Drosophila melanogaster: one gene and its partners. The protein of the gene in region 3 interacts with the protein of the main gene of each other region in a biochemical or structural test. Each region holds a gene or a part of one and is shown on either strand. Other genes may lie near its edges.

What was found.
Region 1: the proteins of Trc8 (region 3) and CSN5 form a complex in vitro, tested with the Drosophila melanogaster proteins (2 studies listed by BioGRID).
Region 2: the proteins of Trc8 (region 3) and Vhl form a complex in vitro, tested with the Drosophila melanogaster proteins (one study listed by BioGRID).

Annotation. Positions count from the first base shown.
Region 1 is NT_033777.3:16,468,220-16,471,955, reverse strand, and holds CSN5 (COP9 signalosome subunit 5), read right to left. Parts: upstream 1,858-3,736; 5' UTR 1,778-1,857; coding exon 1,517-1,777; intron 1,464-1,516; coding exon 887-1,463; intron 828-886; coding exon 682-827; 3' UTR 550-681; downstream 1-549. Other genes in the region: CG42232 (uncharacterized protein), read left to right, coding at 2,549-2,722, 2,785-3,006, 3,080-3,123, 3,281-3,736. UniProt on the Drosophila melanogaster protein: Probable protease subunit of the COP9 signalosome complex (CSN), a complex involved in various cellular and developmental processes.
Region 2 is NT_033778.4:11,277,686-11,281,593, reverse strand, and holds Vhl (von Hippel-Lindau), read right to left. Parts: upstream 1,870-3,908; 5' UTR 1,717-1,869; coding exon 1,180-1,716; 3' UTR 561-1,179; downstream 1-560. Other genes in the region: CG9062 (uncharacterized protein), read left to right, coding at 1-156, 215-320, 444-487; CG9067 (uncharacterized protein), read left to right, coding at 1,999-2,031, 2,086-2,255, 2,316-2,403, 2,469-2,548, 2,613-2,658; Cpr47Eg (cuticular protein 47Eg), read left to right, coding at 3,188-3,199, 3,268-3,609. UniProt on the Drosophila melanogaster protein: Involved in development of tracheal vasculature. Probably involved in halting cell migration at the end of vascular tube outgrowth.
Region 3 is NT_033777.3:29,498,385-29,505,114, forward strand, and holds Trc8 (TRC8 ring finger protein), read right to left. Parts: upstream 5,166-6,730; 5' UTR 4,742-5,165; coding exon 4,345-4,741; intron 3,890-4,344; coding exon 3,319-3,889; intron 3,105-3,318; coding exon 2,567-3,104; intron 2,510-2,566; coding exon 2,335-2,509; intron 2,130-2,334; coding exon 1,933-2,129; intron 1,875-1,932; coding exon 1,674-1,874; intron 1,609-1,673; coding exon 1,258-1,608; 3' UTR 641-1,257; downstream 1-640. Other genes in the region: FipoQ (F-box involved in polyQ pathogenesis), read left to right, coding at 1-119, 179-314. UniProt on the Drosophila melanogaster protein: Plays a role in growth inhibition that is dependent upon COP9 signalosome subunits CSN5 and CSN6. May modulate signalosome levels or compartmentalization. Probably functions in the same or a related pathway to VHL during early midline development.

The DNA of each region.
Region 1 (3,736 bases), about 13 Mb from region 3:
AGCAGACAGTAGACTACGGGTCTGTCAGGGAAACCCTAGAGCCCATCGGCAAACACGCAATCGGGGAATACAAGTTGTAAAATAAACCAAACGATGAAAATAATGAAACCATTTGATTGATGAGAGGGACGCATTCGCGGCTTGGCTTGTATAGCTAACCAGGCTGTGTAATATTTACTTTAAAAATCCCGAAGCAATTAGGGAATGTTTCAGTCGGTGGGCTTCAGTTGTTGCTTTGAGACCGGCTCGGGTTACATAATTCTAGACCAATTGATTTACCCAAGCATCACATTTTCGACAATGTTTTATCGCCATGTCCAATTATTTTATATTCTATAAATGTCAAATGCAGAAGCGTTTTTTATTTAACAATAAAAAGGTTTGTTTATCTGAAAGAATATAATAAATGGTGGATCGGCTGTTTTTCGTCCAGGCGAATAAAAGTTTCAACTTTTACTATGCCTTCCGTCGTCTAATACATAAATAACGAAAACAGTTTCTCTACAAAAAAGAACCCATTTTAAAAGTAAAAGCGTTTGAGATTTTTTTCATCAGCCTATGAGGCGGTTTTATAATTTCCTTTTTCTTTTGGATAAGCTTGACTTACTTAAATATTTCCCAGGGAAATGAAAAGAAAATTCACAATGCATTTTAAAATTCATTGCGAATTTTAGTGTTGAACTATTTGCCCAGTCCGACCTTGTTGAAAAGTTTGTCCTTAACAATCTGAGCCATCAAGCCGTGTATCAGTTCAATGGTGGAGCGGCTGCAGTCTCGGGTGGCCTTGGACAGCTTATCCTCCGAACGCTTCTCATTGACATCGGTTCCTGTGGATAATAAAGCGGGTAAATTATTTGCACAATTCCTAAATCGACCCATTATGTACCGCGACCTAAAAAGTTCTCACTCTGCTCCAGCTTCTCGGAGAGATCCATGATCTGACCGGTGGTGTACTCTGTGTTGGTGAGCAGACCCGAGCTGCCCAGTGTGTTTACCCAGTATTTGTTCCACAGAGAGTCGAGGAGCCTGCGGTCCAGAGCAGACTTGAAGTAGCTAATTTCCAAGGGATAGTACTGCTTGCAGTGGACTCCAAAGTCTTCGATCTTATTCAGCGGGATGGTCTGATACTCCGAGGGCTCCTCGTTTGGTGGCTTATAACCTTTTGGATACGTGCGGAATGCACCCAGACACACCTTGCCAGCGGAAACAGTGCGCACCGGATCAACCACAATGGCCACGAATGGCTCCTGGTATGTCTGGTTGAGCATCTGGGTGGACACATCGATGCCGGACAACCAGCAACCGTAACCGGGATGGCTGTGATACCAGCCCACGGCGTGTTCCATGCGTCCCACCTCTTTGGCCGCTTCCATGTAGGCGGTCATGTACTCGTACGCTTGTGCCTGGGCATTGACGCGGGTTTCAGTGCCCTCCACTGGCAGTGCAAATGCATCCATGACAATCTGCACGGGAATGACTTATAAATTGAGGACCTTTTTTACATTCAATAACTCACCATTGTGTTGTCCTCTACCTTGCCAAGCATTAGACCCATCACCTCCAAAGTACCGCCAGAGCGAGCGTGCATCACCATCTTTAGGAGCGCCAGAGCCGAGATCTTAATGTCCTTAAAGAAGTGGGGATCTTTCTCCCAGGGCTTCGCATCGATGATCTGCCGCTGCTGTTCGGCGTCGTAGCGAAAGATCTCGTCACAACTGGGCAACGTCTGGATGTTGTTCTCCAGCTCCCAGGTCTTTTGTGCGGCGTCGGAGTCCATTGTGATTGTACTTATGCCGAAAATTGTAGTCTTTTGTTGCAAGTTTTTGTTTTCCGGCTCAATTCTAGAGATGAACTTGTCGGTACCATCTGTACAATCAATTTCATGAAGGTACAATCGATATTTTTTATAAATCGATTATTATAAGTTAAGAAATTAAAATATTGATTAAAAAATTTAAAATTTATCTATATTAACAATTTATTTGTTTAATAAATAAAATGTATTTTTAATCGTTAATTTTTTACCAAGGAAAGTTTTTTAATTTAATTTTTCTGTTTACGATACGCACTCTAATTTGCAGCATTTTTGACTAAAAAAAACTTAAAACCTTATTTCATAGTGACAAAATGATTCATCGCAGTATCTGTAATCTGTATCTTTCTTTTCACTTCTTGAGATTAACCATTATTAATAATCACATAATATAAACCACTTTTAATTCAAGTAAGTTGTCAGTTCCTGCACCCCGAATTTTAAATGTAACGCATAAGCCGGCGCATTAAAAGCAGGTTGGCAGGGCTTGCGCGTCCATTGCAAAAAAATTCCTGCACAGAGTTTTCGCTACAATTAACTTTGGCAAGCTCGTGATGTGGGCCGTAAAAACAGTGTCTGGTGGAAAAGTGTGAAAGAAATCAGTGAATAGTTTGTGGGTGTTTTGTGTACGTGCATTTACCGTATTATTCCCAATAGCTTTGCGGCTTTTCAAAGTGCTCGCTTCGGTATTCGTTTTCCCCGCACCCAAGCCGCATTTGCGACGCCGCTTGGAAAATGTCGCTGGATGGCGGTAGGTTGCGCTACGAAGACGAAAATGGTAAAACCGTGGTTCTGGCAGCCAAAGGGCGCACCTTCCAGGTGGGCTCCTACTACAATTGCGACCTCATCCTGGAGGGGCCAGAGGAGGAGCGTCTAATTTGCGAAATAAACTGCGATGCCTTCGGCAGGGTGAGTCTGGATGGCAGGAATCCCCCTTAACCGCCCTAACATACTGCTTCTTCCGCCCTTAGGTCATCATATACAACAAGTCCAGCGGAGACCCCATTCATCTCAACGACGTGGCCATCCACGCTGCAGGCAAGCGTCCTTTGCTACACGGTGGCAAGATTACCATTCGAGACAAGGTCTACACGTGGGAGTTCCCCAAGACCTCCGAGGTGCAGGATGCCCCATGCACCCCAGAACGCCTATTGCCCAACGAACAGGCCTCAAACTCCTGCCCTTCATTGAAGGTAATAGCCGCCATCTGTTCCAGATAGTACAGTATTCCAAGTCCTACAATTTCCCCATTTTTATTTGATTTAGCAATCGCATCGTCTACAAGCCGAAAAACGCCTGACAGTTCACAAGTAAGTGAAAACAGCAGGCAGACCCCTAACCGACTACCTGGCCAACCCCTAAAATGTCTTTGGGCAACAACAATAGGAAAAAGTCCCTACTGCAAGCATGTGTTGTCTGCCTGTTAATAGTCCTCATAAAACCTTATCTCTGCTTATACCTTTTCAGTTTTCACTACAGCATCAATTCGGACGACGAAGGAAATACTTCTATAGAGTCTCGTGATCAGAGTGAGTCTCACTTGGAGGATGTCTCACTGAATGAATCAATTCAGCGCAGCACAGAGGAGACAGCTTACGAGTCCCCCAAAGTAAATCTTCTGGAGGCTACGCAGAATAAGGAGAATACCGCAACGCCACCAGGTAGCCACCAAAAGCTACTAAGGCTGTGCGCCATCTCCGACGTGGTTATTACCTCTTATTCGCCGCGCGAGACTGGCGTGAAGATCGAGAAATCCTTTTCATGTGTTCGAAAACCTGGCTACACCACGACGTCTTTGGCTGTTTCCACGCCCAAGAGCGTATACAGCACCCCCAAGGGCAATGTGCTCTCTGAACTAAACGAAGACAGCTGCAGCCGAGATCTAATGGACTTTAGCACGCCATCCACCTCAAAAAAAACCAA
Region 2 (3,908 bases), on a different chromosome or scaffold from region 3:
GTCTGCGAGCACGTGCTTGAAAAGGTGCTGAATGCGGAAACTACCCCAAGTGGGGGCAATGCTAACAATTCACTGCAGAATAGCCAGAGCGATGCTAATTCGGAGGGATCCCAACTGCCAGCTGAGGAACGAATTGAACTGTGGTGTAACGATGTGGTAAGACAAATGGACAAATCTCATTTAAAGGACCTTGTTCACCGCCTTTCCTTTAAAGGTTGTGGACCCCAACATGGACCTGCGCACGGTGCGCCACTTTATCTGGAAGCAGTCGACCGATCTAACGTTTCAGTACAAGACCAAACAGAATTTCAACTACGATGGTAAATAAGAGAGCCCACGCATTGAACAACACAAGAACACCTATCACAAACACAACGCATACTTGATTTCTGCAATTGCTATTGCCTAACCGAGAGTTGTGCTTATATATATCCGCCCCATAGGTTCGATCGGGGATAGCTTGGAGCGCGTGACGCGCAAGTATTGAACGCTGGCAAGTGATCTCCCGCCTAACCGAAGCAGTACCGATGCATTATTGAATGAGAACGAGATTGAGCAGATCGATTAACAATTTATATTTTTATAAGTTGATTTTGCAATATATTTGAGTTAACCTGCGATTCGTCTCATCTCTTCTCGACTCGACTCGTGGACAAACACAAACACATTCAAGGAGAATCTGTACGAGCGTTAACTTTAAATTTAAAAGTGCACCGGAGTACTTTTGTTTGTTCACTTCTCGTTAGGAATAAATATGTACTTCAGATTCAGACTTATAACAATTAGGCTTGCGACACACGTAGATAAGCATTGCAAAGGAGTAACTGCAGACATACCATTAAATCGTATTTGCATCTGAAGCAACTAGACCTAGAGTATTGCGCATATATGTATGTATGTAATATTCACACTTGTTTCACATTAGGTTTATACATAATTATTTACATAGAACATACATAGGTATAAGAAATCTGTTAAATATACAGAAAAATCAATGCAATGGTAGTAGCCCAACTTGTAAAGAGCTCTATGCAAGCCAATTTGTACATAAGTAATAAGCGAAAATCGAAAACCAGGATGGAAATCAATTAAAGTTATTAAATTATTTGGAAATCAAGCCTGTCTCTCAGTCCCTAAGATGATTACCCGCCCTCTTAACTAACAACTAGGAGTGTGCTCCTAACGCCGACGTCGCGTGCCCGCCACTCGGGAATAGGACTCGATGCAGGTCAGCAGGCTGAGCAGCTGTTGCTTCAGCGTCGAGGGTATGTGGTATCCGTGGATAATCCTCCGTGGCGCGTTGCTCGTCCGGATCAGCCAGCGGGCGACCAGCCAGAGGCAGTTTTCGCGCAGCGATCTCATCGGAAAGTGGATCAGCACTTCGCTGCGTACGTCAACCAGCTGATCCGGACTCTGCTGGCTCTTGGGTACCCGCACCCGAATCGGCTGAAAGATCCTCTGCGAGCGTACGTGCATCCGTTCGCCCGTGTAGTAATCCCGGAACAGCCAGCTGTGTGTGGTGAACGTGTTCACCCGCACCTCCTCGAAGGGCTTGAGGGTAAGGTACATGTTCTCCCGCTCCCGCTCGCACACCCAGTACAGATCCAGGGTGCGATAGGTGGTGTTTGCAAACAGCACGTACACCTCCACCTTTCCCTGATCAGCGCCCACCAGCTGCTGGCCGTCGCGGTTGTTCTGCGCTATTTGGAGCGCCATCTCCAGCAGGGTGCTAAGCCGATCTGCAATGGCTGCCAAATCAATTTTCGTTGTTTTACGTTTGCACAAGCCGTGGGAATTGGATTGAATCAAATCACAACAAGCTAACAACAAGTATAGATAAAATTCACTTCTTATCAGTTACGGTAACATTTTTCCTGCTGCGTGTCACTGCAGCTGGCCACACTTTCGATGAATGTCTTATCGATAAGGGGTAAATCAGCTGATTTGCCTCCGCCTCTCGCGAAAAGTAAACAAATAAACACCAAGAAATAACAAAATATGGCATTTTGCATAGCAGTTATTGGCAAGGATGTGAGTTTTATTTTTCATTTGAATACAATTAATTGCATGACAAATTCCCCACAGAACGCCCCCCTGTACCTGACCACATCCGATATGGAGCAGGAACTGGAATTGCAATATCATGTTAACGCCGCCTTAGACGTCGTGGAGGAGAAGTGCCTGATTGGCAAGGGTGCTCCGGAGTCCAAGGAGCTGTACCTGGGACTGCTCTACTCGACAGAGAACCACAAAATGTACTTGGGTGTAGTTATGCTGGTGAATTTGCAACTGATTGGTGGTTGATTTCATTACAGATACGGCTTTGTGACCAACACTCGGGTGAAATTCATAGTGGTCATCGACTCCAGCAACGTTGCCCTTCGGGAAAACGAAGTTCGAGCAGTGGGTATCCAATCTAACTATCTAAATGAAAGCCCCAAATACCTCCTACCCTCTGTATCTTCCAGATCTTCCGAAATCTCCACTTGCTCTACACCGATGCCATCTGCAATCCCTTTTACATTCCCGGCGAATCGCTGACTTCAAAGTAAGCGGGCTTCTCCTTAAAGAATATATAAGTTGCTCTTAATACGTTACTTTTATATCTGCAGGAAGTTCGATCGCGCTGTCCAGAAACTGATGAGCGGCACTGCCTAGCTGTAGATTAATACTGAACGAATAATAAAGCGAATTATTTATCAAATGCATACGTCTTTCTAGGAGGGATGTCAAGGTGGCCTGGCCAAGTGCCCGCTCCAAGCTAGACTCAAGAGAGATACGCACCGGAGATACGCAAACCGGTCGTTGGCTGGCTAGCCGTAGCCAAATATTATGCTAATTCGACATTTTTGACAAAAATAATTCGAGAATTAATTATATCTTTACAATGTGTCTGCTAGTTGACACATAGTTAGTTAATGTCTCCGCGTCAAACTCGTCTTCCGTCTGTTTCGGGCATTATTATGGGATTCAATGCGAACTTTAACTGAACGGCAATAACGAGGCACACATAAACATGTATTTTGTCTTATCTAATGCATAATTAATGAAATCAAATCCTACGCGTCTCTAGACTTGAACTTGGGCGCCACCGGCAGAGGTAAGCTGAGCATCAGTATCATATAAAAAGCAGGCAGAAGTTCCAGTTCGATATCAGTTAGCCTTCTCAAGTCTTTCAACAATCAACATGAAGTTCTTCGTAAGTGGCTTTATCGCAAATTGATCCTTTAATGATTCTAGCTGATTTGTTATTTACAATCCTTGTAGATTGCTTTCGCCTGCCTGTTGGCCGTCGCCCTCGCCAACGAAGATGCCAATGTTCTCCGTGCCGAGCAGCAAGTGAATGTTGACGGCTTTGCTTACGCTGTTGAGCTGGACAACTCTGTCAATGTGCAACAGAAGGGTGACCTTAACGGCGAAGAGTGGGTGGTGAAGGGAAGCCAGTCGTGGACATCTCCCGAAAATGTGCCAGTGTCCATCCAATATATCGCCGATGCCAACGGTTACCAGGTGGTGTCTGCCAACCCTCCTCTGCCCACCCCACCACCAATTCCAGAGGCCATCCAGCGTTCTCTGGAGTACATCGCCGCCCACCCCCCAAGTCAATAAATAATGTTAAATAAATGTGTTGAACTTTACTTTCCTAGACTTTTAATTTCTTCCCAAAAGGACTGTCGCTTCTTAAACCGAGTAGACAAACATATATACGCATCGTATTAGCGGACAGAAACTTGTTGGTCAGGGTCTACCAGACGGATGAATTATATTAGTACGTAATATGTATGGGTCTGACAGATGAACATTGTACCCAAACGCCATGCTGCCCCTGAACTCGGGGTCGTTCAGTTTTCACTTTCGATTTAGGATCACTTAGGAGCTGTTACTTTAGGATCACTGTTACGTAATCA
Region 3 (6,730 bases):
AACTTGGAGCGGCTGGAGCTGCGCTGGGATCCGGACAACCTGCGCTTCTCCGACAAGAGCCAGAAGGCCATCGATATTCTGCGCGTCAAGTGCCTCAAGCTGCGCTGCATGGTGCTCAGGTGGGTCTACATCAGACTCCTATTTCTATGCGGGATTAACATCAATATTTCGCTTCCAGCGATGGTCGCTACTATGAGACGGTCAAGGCCAACTTTGAGCGTGCCGATCGCATCACCGTGGTGCGCACCACCACCTGCTGCCGTGTGTCTCCCTATCACCTGCTCCGCAACTACAACGATTTGATTTTCAACTGAGCCTCTGAGGTTCAGAGCTGAAAGCCAAGAGAGGATTGGTAGCTTGCACTTACCCGGTTGCAGAGCTCTGGATGGGATTTACCCACAACAGGGCCGGAGGAGAAGCAATGTTTCTGTGTGTTTTCGCTTACAATAAGAGTGTTTTAATGTTTTCTGTATTTTCCGCTTCTTTCGTTTAATTACTTTAAATCTAAATAAACGTACATAGGTAATTTAAATAAAAACAAAACAAGGATTTGCTTATACAAGTTATTTTTACATTACAAAATTATACAACGCAACTTTTCGCCTTGCTCTCGTTTTTAAATCATTTTTTTTTTTTTTTTAATCATTTCAATCCGCGTTGATTCGTGTTTTGTTTTTAACTAGATTTACTTGGTAACTTGATTAAATCATTTTCAGACTTCACCACATAAAATGTTTATCGTTTTTGCGTTTTAGCGTTTTGCTGATGATTTTTACACTGCTTTCATCCATTGCAAACTTAATGCTAATTTAATTTTTTTTTTGTGTGTGTATGTTTCAACATTTTTGAATCGACTTTTTACCATAAACTTAACGTACATATGTAGATCATCTCCGTTTGAATTATCGTCTCATTGCCGATCAGCGTTCAGCTATTATATGCATGGTATATAATTTAGTTAAGCATAGCTGCGTGAGTTATACATACGTAATGTCTGTGCCTATGACGATATAGGATCGAAGGTGGGTGCTGTGGTCGAGTGCTGGGCATTGGTGTGCTGGTGTGTTACGAATAGATTGCTCTTTGGGCAGGGGGAATAGAGAAGCCTTGGGTCGCTACAAAGATTTGCATTTATACATAAGTACACTAACGCACAGAACGTTTCCAAGTCGTAAGATATATATATATATAAGAAACGCAAGGTACGCCGAGCGCTCCCGTTCCGTTCGATTCGGTCCTAGCCTACCCTATATGCGACTACTGCTGGTCCTGCGACATCCGGAACATGTGCGTCGTATTGCTGGCCGCCGCCGTGGCCACAGCAGCAGCCGAGGTGGCCGTCGGCGGCGGCGATTGGGCGGATGCGGTCATGTAGCTGCTGTCGCTGCTCCCGCTGGCGCTGATTCGGTGAGTGGCGCTGCTGCTGCTGGCTACGCTGACCAGCGAACGCGCCTCGCCCACAGCCGCTGCCGACTCCACGATGGCCGACACTGCCTCCGCCCCGATTGTCGCCGCTGCGCTGGAGGAGCTGGTGGCGGGCGCCTGTTCTGATGCTTCGACTGGAGCACGCTCCGGAGAGCGTCGCTGCGCAGCTGCGTTGTTGGCGTCCTGCATGTTCAAGGGAATAGATGTACATTGAGACTAACAACAGAGTATCCCCATTTGTTACTCACGTCTCGCGGGTATATCCGCATCGGCTGCTCGGCCTGGGCAGCTGGCGCTGGCTCCGCCTCCGGCGCATTCTCATCCGCCTTGTCCGTGTACATCATGATCTCGTGGCACAGGGGGCAACGATCCTGAACGTACAGCCATTTGCGCAGGCAAACGCCGTGGAAGAAGTGGCGACACCGCGTGATCTTGGCGGAATACATTTCCTGCAAAACGATAGTTGAGTCACGTGCAATATTGCATGCAATACAATACAATACGCACCTGATAGCAGATGGCGCAGACATCGTCGAATGCCTGCAGCTGGGCGGGAGTTGCCTCTGGCAGGGCTGAGATCTTGTGGACCGCCGAACGCCGCTTCATGAAGACCGACCAGCCCGCCCGCGCCTCGCACCAGATATTGAAGTAGGCGTGGATGCACATCATGATCGCTCTGATGCCGCCGCCTGTAGCATTTTGGGCTATCAAGTTATAGTTATCGGTACACAAAATCAACCAAATAAAAATATTACATGCACACATAGAACAGAAAAGCTGGACGCGGACAATATGGGCTCGATGATATCGAGATGGCTAGATCAGATGCCAATGGAATGCGGTGATGATCACTCGCGCTTACTGATGTGCTAATGTAACAAGGACGGGACACGCTGCGCTCCAACTTACCAGACTCGAAGATCAGAATCCAAGCACCGTTGATGAACAGCAGGATGCCGAAGCAGAACTCCACTGAGTTGCCGAACGCGCGCACATAGTACAGGTAGTCGTCCAGCTTCTCCCAGAAGAACTGCCGACGCGCGTCCAGCAGGAAGAGCGTGTAGGTGGCCAGCGAAACGAGAACCTGCGGGAGAAGTAGTAGCTGTAGCTCTTGAAGCGTACATATCGCATTCGCACGCACCTTGACGACGACCTCCACAGAGAAGGCGGTAACCGCTAGCAGCCAGGTGGAGATGGATTGCTGCGACCAGAGGTGGTAGAGCAGAGACACTGACAACACCACGAGGAACGCGCAGACGGAGAGGGCGCGCACATGGCGCTTCCGCGAGGGATTCCGTGCCGCACTGAGCGACATCAAGATGGGCGACACGATGTTGTGCAGGAAGTGCAGCAGAGCGGTCATCAGCAGGCACAGATTGCGGCACAGCCTGATGAAGCGTTTGTCCGGCGACAGTGAGGTCAGGCCCGTCTGCAGAGCGAGGATGTAGAAGAGCACTGCGGAGACAGTGCCCAGCGACTTCTCCTCGTCGTCGTAGGTGAGCAGGTACCACTGGAAGCCGCGTCCGATGTAGTGGCAGAACATCGAGATGACGCCCGTCATGCCCAGCACCGCCGTCATAGTCTCACAGCCGTCGACCAGCAGCTTCTGTGTGGCCGTCATTAGATCCAGGGGCTCATCCGATTCCGTCGTGGCCAGGGCATAGCCGCCTTGGATTAGTCTGAAAAGCAGGGTGTTCTATTCGATCATTATGCATTTAAACCAGTTAATCCGTTTGCTTCGGCCATTAATAACATAAGTCTCGGAATGGATATTCAATTCTGTGATTGATGGCCTTGTTCCATTGACACATTAACGCTCCAAATGCAAGAATTAGAATGTTCCACGTGCATGATTAACATAAATTAATGAACCGCTTCGGAAACGAAACCCACCTGATGGTCCAAAAAACCCTCAGAACGTTGGGCACATTGAGCCTCTGCCATTCGTTTTCAATGAGCGCCGACAGTCCAAAGTTGGACACAAAGTTCATGGCGTACTGGTATCCGTTGTAGACCGTGCGACTGGCCTCCATGGCGCTCTGCATCAGCGTGATCTTCGTGAGGATGATGGGCGTGAAAACGGCCACCACGGGCAGGTGTTGCACCACCTTCGCCGGCAGCGGCAGCATGGCCAACAGAATTGGACTAGCGAAGATGATGGGCATCGATCTCTGGACATGTTCGAACCTCGGTCCCAGGTGAATGTAGGCGAACAGCATGCCCATGAACCACTGGGCCATCAGATGCGGCGCCAGCGACATGACCACCCCGCCCGAGTCCAGCAGCCTAGTGGTGTTCAGTGACATGAGGTCCTCCACCATGCTGGGACTGCGCTCCGTCAGCGCCAGCGCACTCACGTTCGACCAGTAGGACAGGAAGGTGAGGCCCAGCGAGGTGAGGAACATGTAGACCATCACCAGGTGCCGGGTCCACAGCATGAAGATGCACGCGGCGGATAGGAAAGCTGCAAGAAAGCACACAGATTGTGAGTCAGGCATATATCTACGTTTCGCTGGCGTTCAAAGTGCGCCCAATAAGCGGCCCTTGGAATTCTGGATGACTTCGCAGGCAGATCGAAAACAATGAACTCGAAATAACTTAATTGCCTGTGTTTACGTTTTGGGTTCAATGGGAATGCTCAAGCTTGCAATTCACGCTTTTTAAGGGGTAACTAACTATTCATTCATATACATACATGGCCTTTTTGCTTGAGTAAGCATTATATTCGATTCTGCGATTACTTGTTATCTCAATTTAACTCATATCTAAGTTATTATGAAAGTTACTGACTAATCCTTGACCATGACGTGTAGTTAAATGTAGTTAAATCTCATCCCTGACCTTATATGCTGAGCATTAGAATTCTAAGCAGATATATAGATGTGACCGTTCTAAGCGCAACCCCTGTAGATGACTCACCGAACACGCATAAAACGAACTTGACCGTGGTGGTGCTGAGCACATCCGCCAGTGTTTGGTCCTTGGACAGCTCGTTCATCAGCGAGTTGAAACCGGAGCTGAGCATGCCGTGCGTTTTGGCCGCCTCGGAGGCCTTCTCGATGCTCTGTTCCAGCACAGATTGGGCGGAGGTGGTCATGTGGGAGAACAACTCCTTTATGCTGGTGAACGGATCCTGGCCGGATGGCACCGCTGGCGCTTCTGTGGGCGTAGCAAGTGCGCCACTGGCCTTGTCCTTGTCCGGATAGAGCCACGACTGCATGCCCATGTCCATCTTTAGTATCTCATCGATGACCATCACCGGTGGCACGCGCATCATCACGTCCACCAGGCCGAGAACCTTCGTCCGCACGGACATGGCTCCCTATATGTATCCGTAACCGTATCCCGTATCCTTCTCCGGGCTTTTGGCCTCCTCGCTTTGCTTTGCTGATCCCGCGTGACTAGGCACTAATCGCGAGCCAATCGAGCTCCAATCTGCATTTGTTGTGGATTCGCCTTCGTCTTGGATTTCGCAAAAAAACAAAAAATAGACGACGGAATGACGATTTGGCTGCGTGAGTGTGTGGGTGCGTGTGTGTGTGCGTTCGCATGCAGCAGGTGCAAATTCCCGCTGGCGCGTCGTGGAAAAGGTCGTTGCGGCAGGCTGCTCGTTTATGCTCCGCTTTTGGCCACACAATTGCGCTGCGCTCTAAACTTTACACTTTTCACAATTGGTTTTTGTTTTTCTCCTCTGCTTCTCCTCCTTCTTCAGCGGCCCATCTATCGATTGGTGCTGCTGCCTATCGCTGCGGTCGCCAGTGCTGCCCCGCGGCCCTGCTTTCGCCGGACTATCGATTGTCGTTGCCAGCTGATCGTGTGGCGCGCTTTTTGAAAATTCCCTCTGCCTTTGAGCCGCGAAACGGCGCGTGTTGCTGCGTGTCGGTCTGGGGTACTGGTAATTTTAGGTATTCTGTTCAAAAACTACGTTCTAAAGGGTCTGGTCTAGCCTTCTGTGTGCGATAGAGAGACACTATTGGGCAGAGTTTACTTTAACTTGAAGCCGATTGAGGTTTGGGTAGCAATTTGGTTACGACTTGTTGCTTCAGTTATTGTTGAAACATTTAACTGCATTTACTATTTAGTTTCTAATAGTTACAGTTTTACATTCACTCAATATACAGCCTAGGCTGGTGTTAACAGAGCTGTTAACTGATATGTCCAGTGTTGACTAGTGCTGCTGTTAACTTGGCGCGCTGTCTACGAAATTTAAATTTGTGCTGAATCCAAAAAGTAATAACTAGCAGGCTAGAATATCCGATTACGTAAGGTATTTCATTTAACATTATGCTTACAGAGGAACGAGCAAACCCCTTAAAACATTTCCTCTGCTCATATTTCCCGAAATGCCCGCAGTTTCTAGTTCTAAAAGCGAACATTTCCTGCATTCTTGCGAATGCGCCCAATTCCAATCCAATCCGTATCCGCAGGGCCCCGAAGTCATTTACGTGAATTTCCTCAATTGTTCGGCCATTAACTTTTGCCATTTGCCACCTTAATTGTTGTTCTTTCTTGTTTTGTGGCACACAGCCCCTGGAAGAAGCCCCACTCCCCCCACCGAAATCCACAACCCTTTTTGCTATGCAAATGCACAAATTGAGGCAACGGCAACGGCAAATGCGATGCAGTCCGCATTTGGGTTTCGTTTTGGTTTCGTCCCCAACGCAACGCTCGTAATTATGCGCAATTGTTTAGCGTTTAGCTAGGAAAGTTCAACTAACATAATTGATTTTTCATGCCGCGCCACAAGAATTTTAAACAAACTGCACAGGTCATAACAAAACAAACAGACGAGGAATGCATGTTTGTCGAATTTTTTGTGTGAGCTACGAGTACTTCTTTTAGTTGTAGTAGTAGTAATGATACATTCACTATTACTATTGTTATTATATTATAGTAAAAATTCACCCAAATTAGTGTTAGATAACCACGATCATTTTCAACTTTGAGAGTGTCTAAAGTTTATGCAATATTCGTTTTTATTTATTCCGCTAATTTGCATAGTTTTCTGAAGTTTTGGGCTGGCGTTTTGTGTTGCATACTTCGTGGGGCTGCAATGTGCGCACTGGCGATTTGAATTCCATTTTGGCAGGACGTGGACGAATAGCTAACACTCCCCGAGGCACTGGCCGCCCAATATGGGCCTCATATATTCAACATAATCAGTGTAATTGTCAGCGCAATGAGCCGGGGGAATCGCTGGGCTACTGGGAGCCCAGTTCGATGGCTCCAAGCATCCAGGATCCGCTCTCTTCGCGGGTCTCACGCACGGCAATTGTATAATTTATCGCTCCAGTTCTAATCGGCA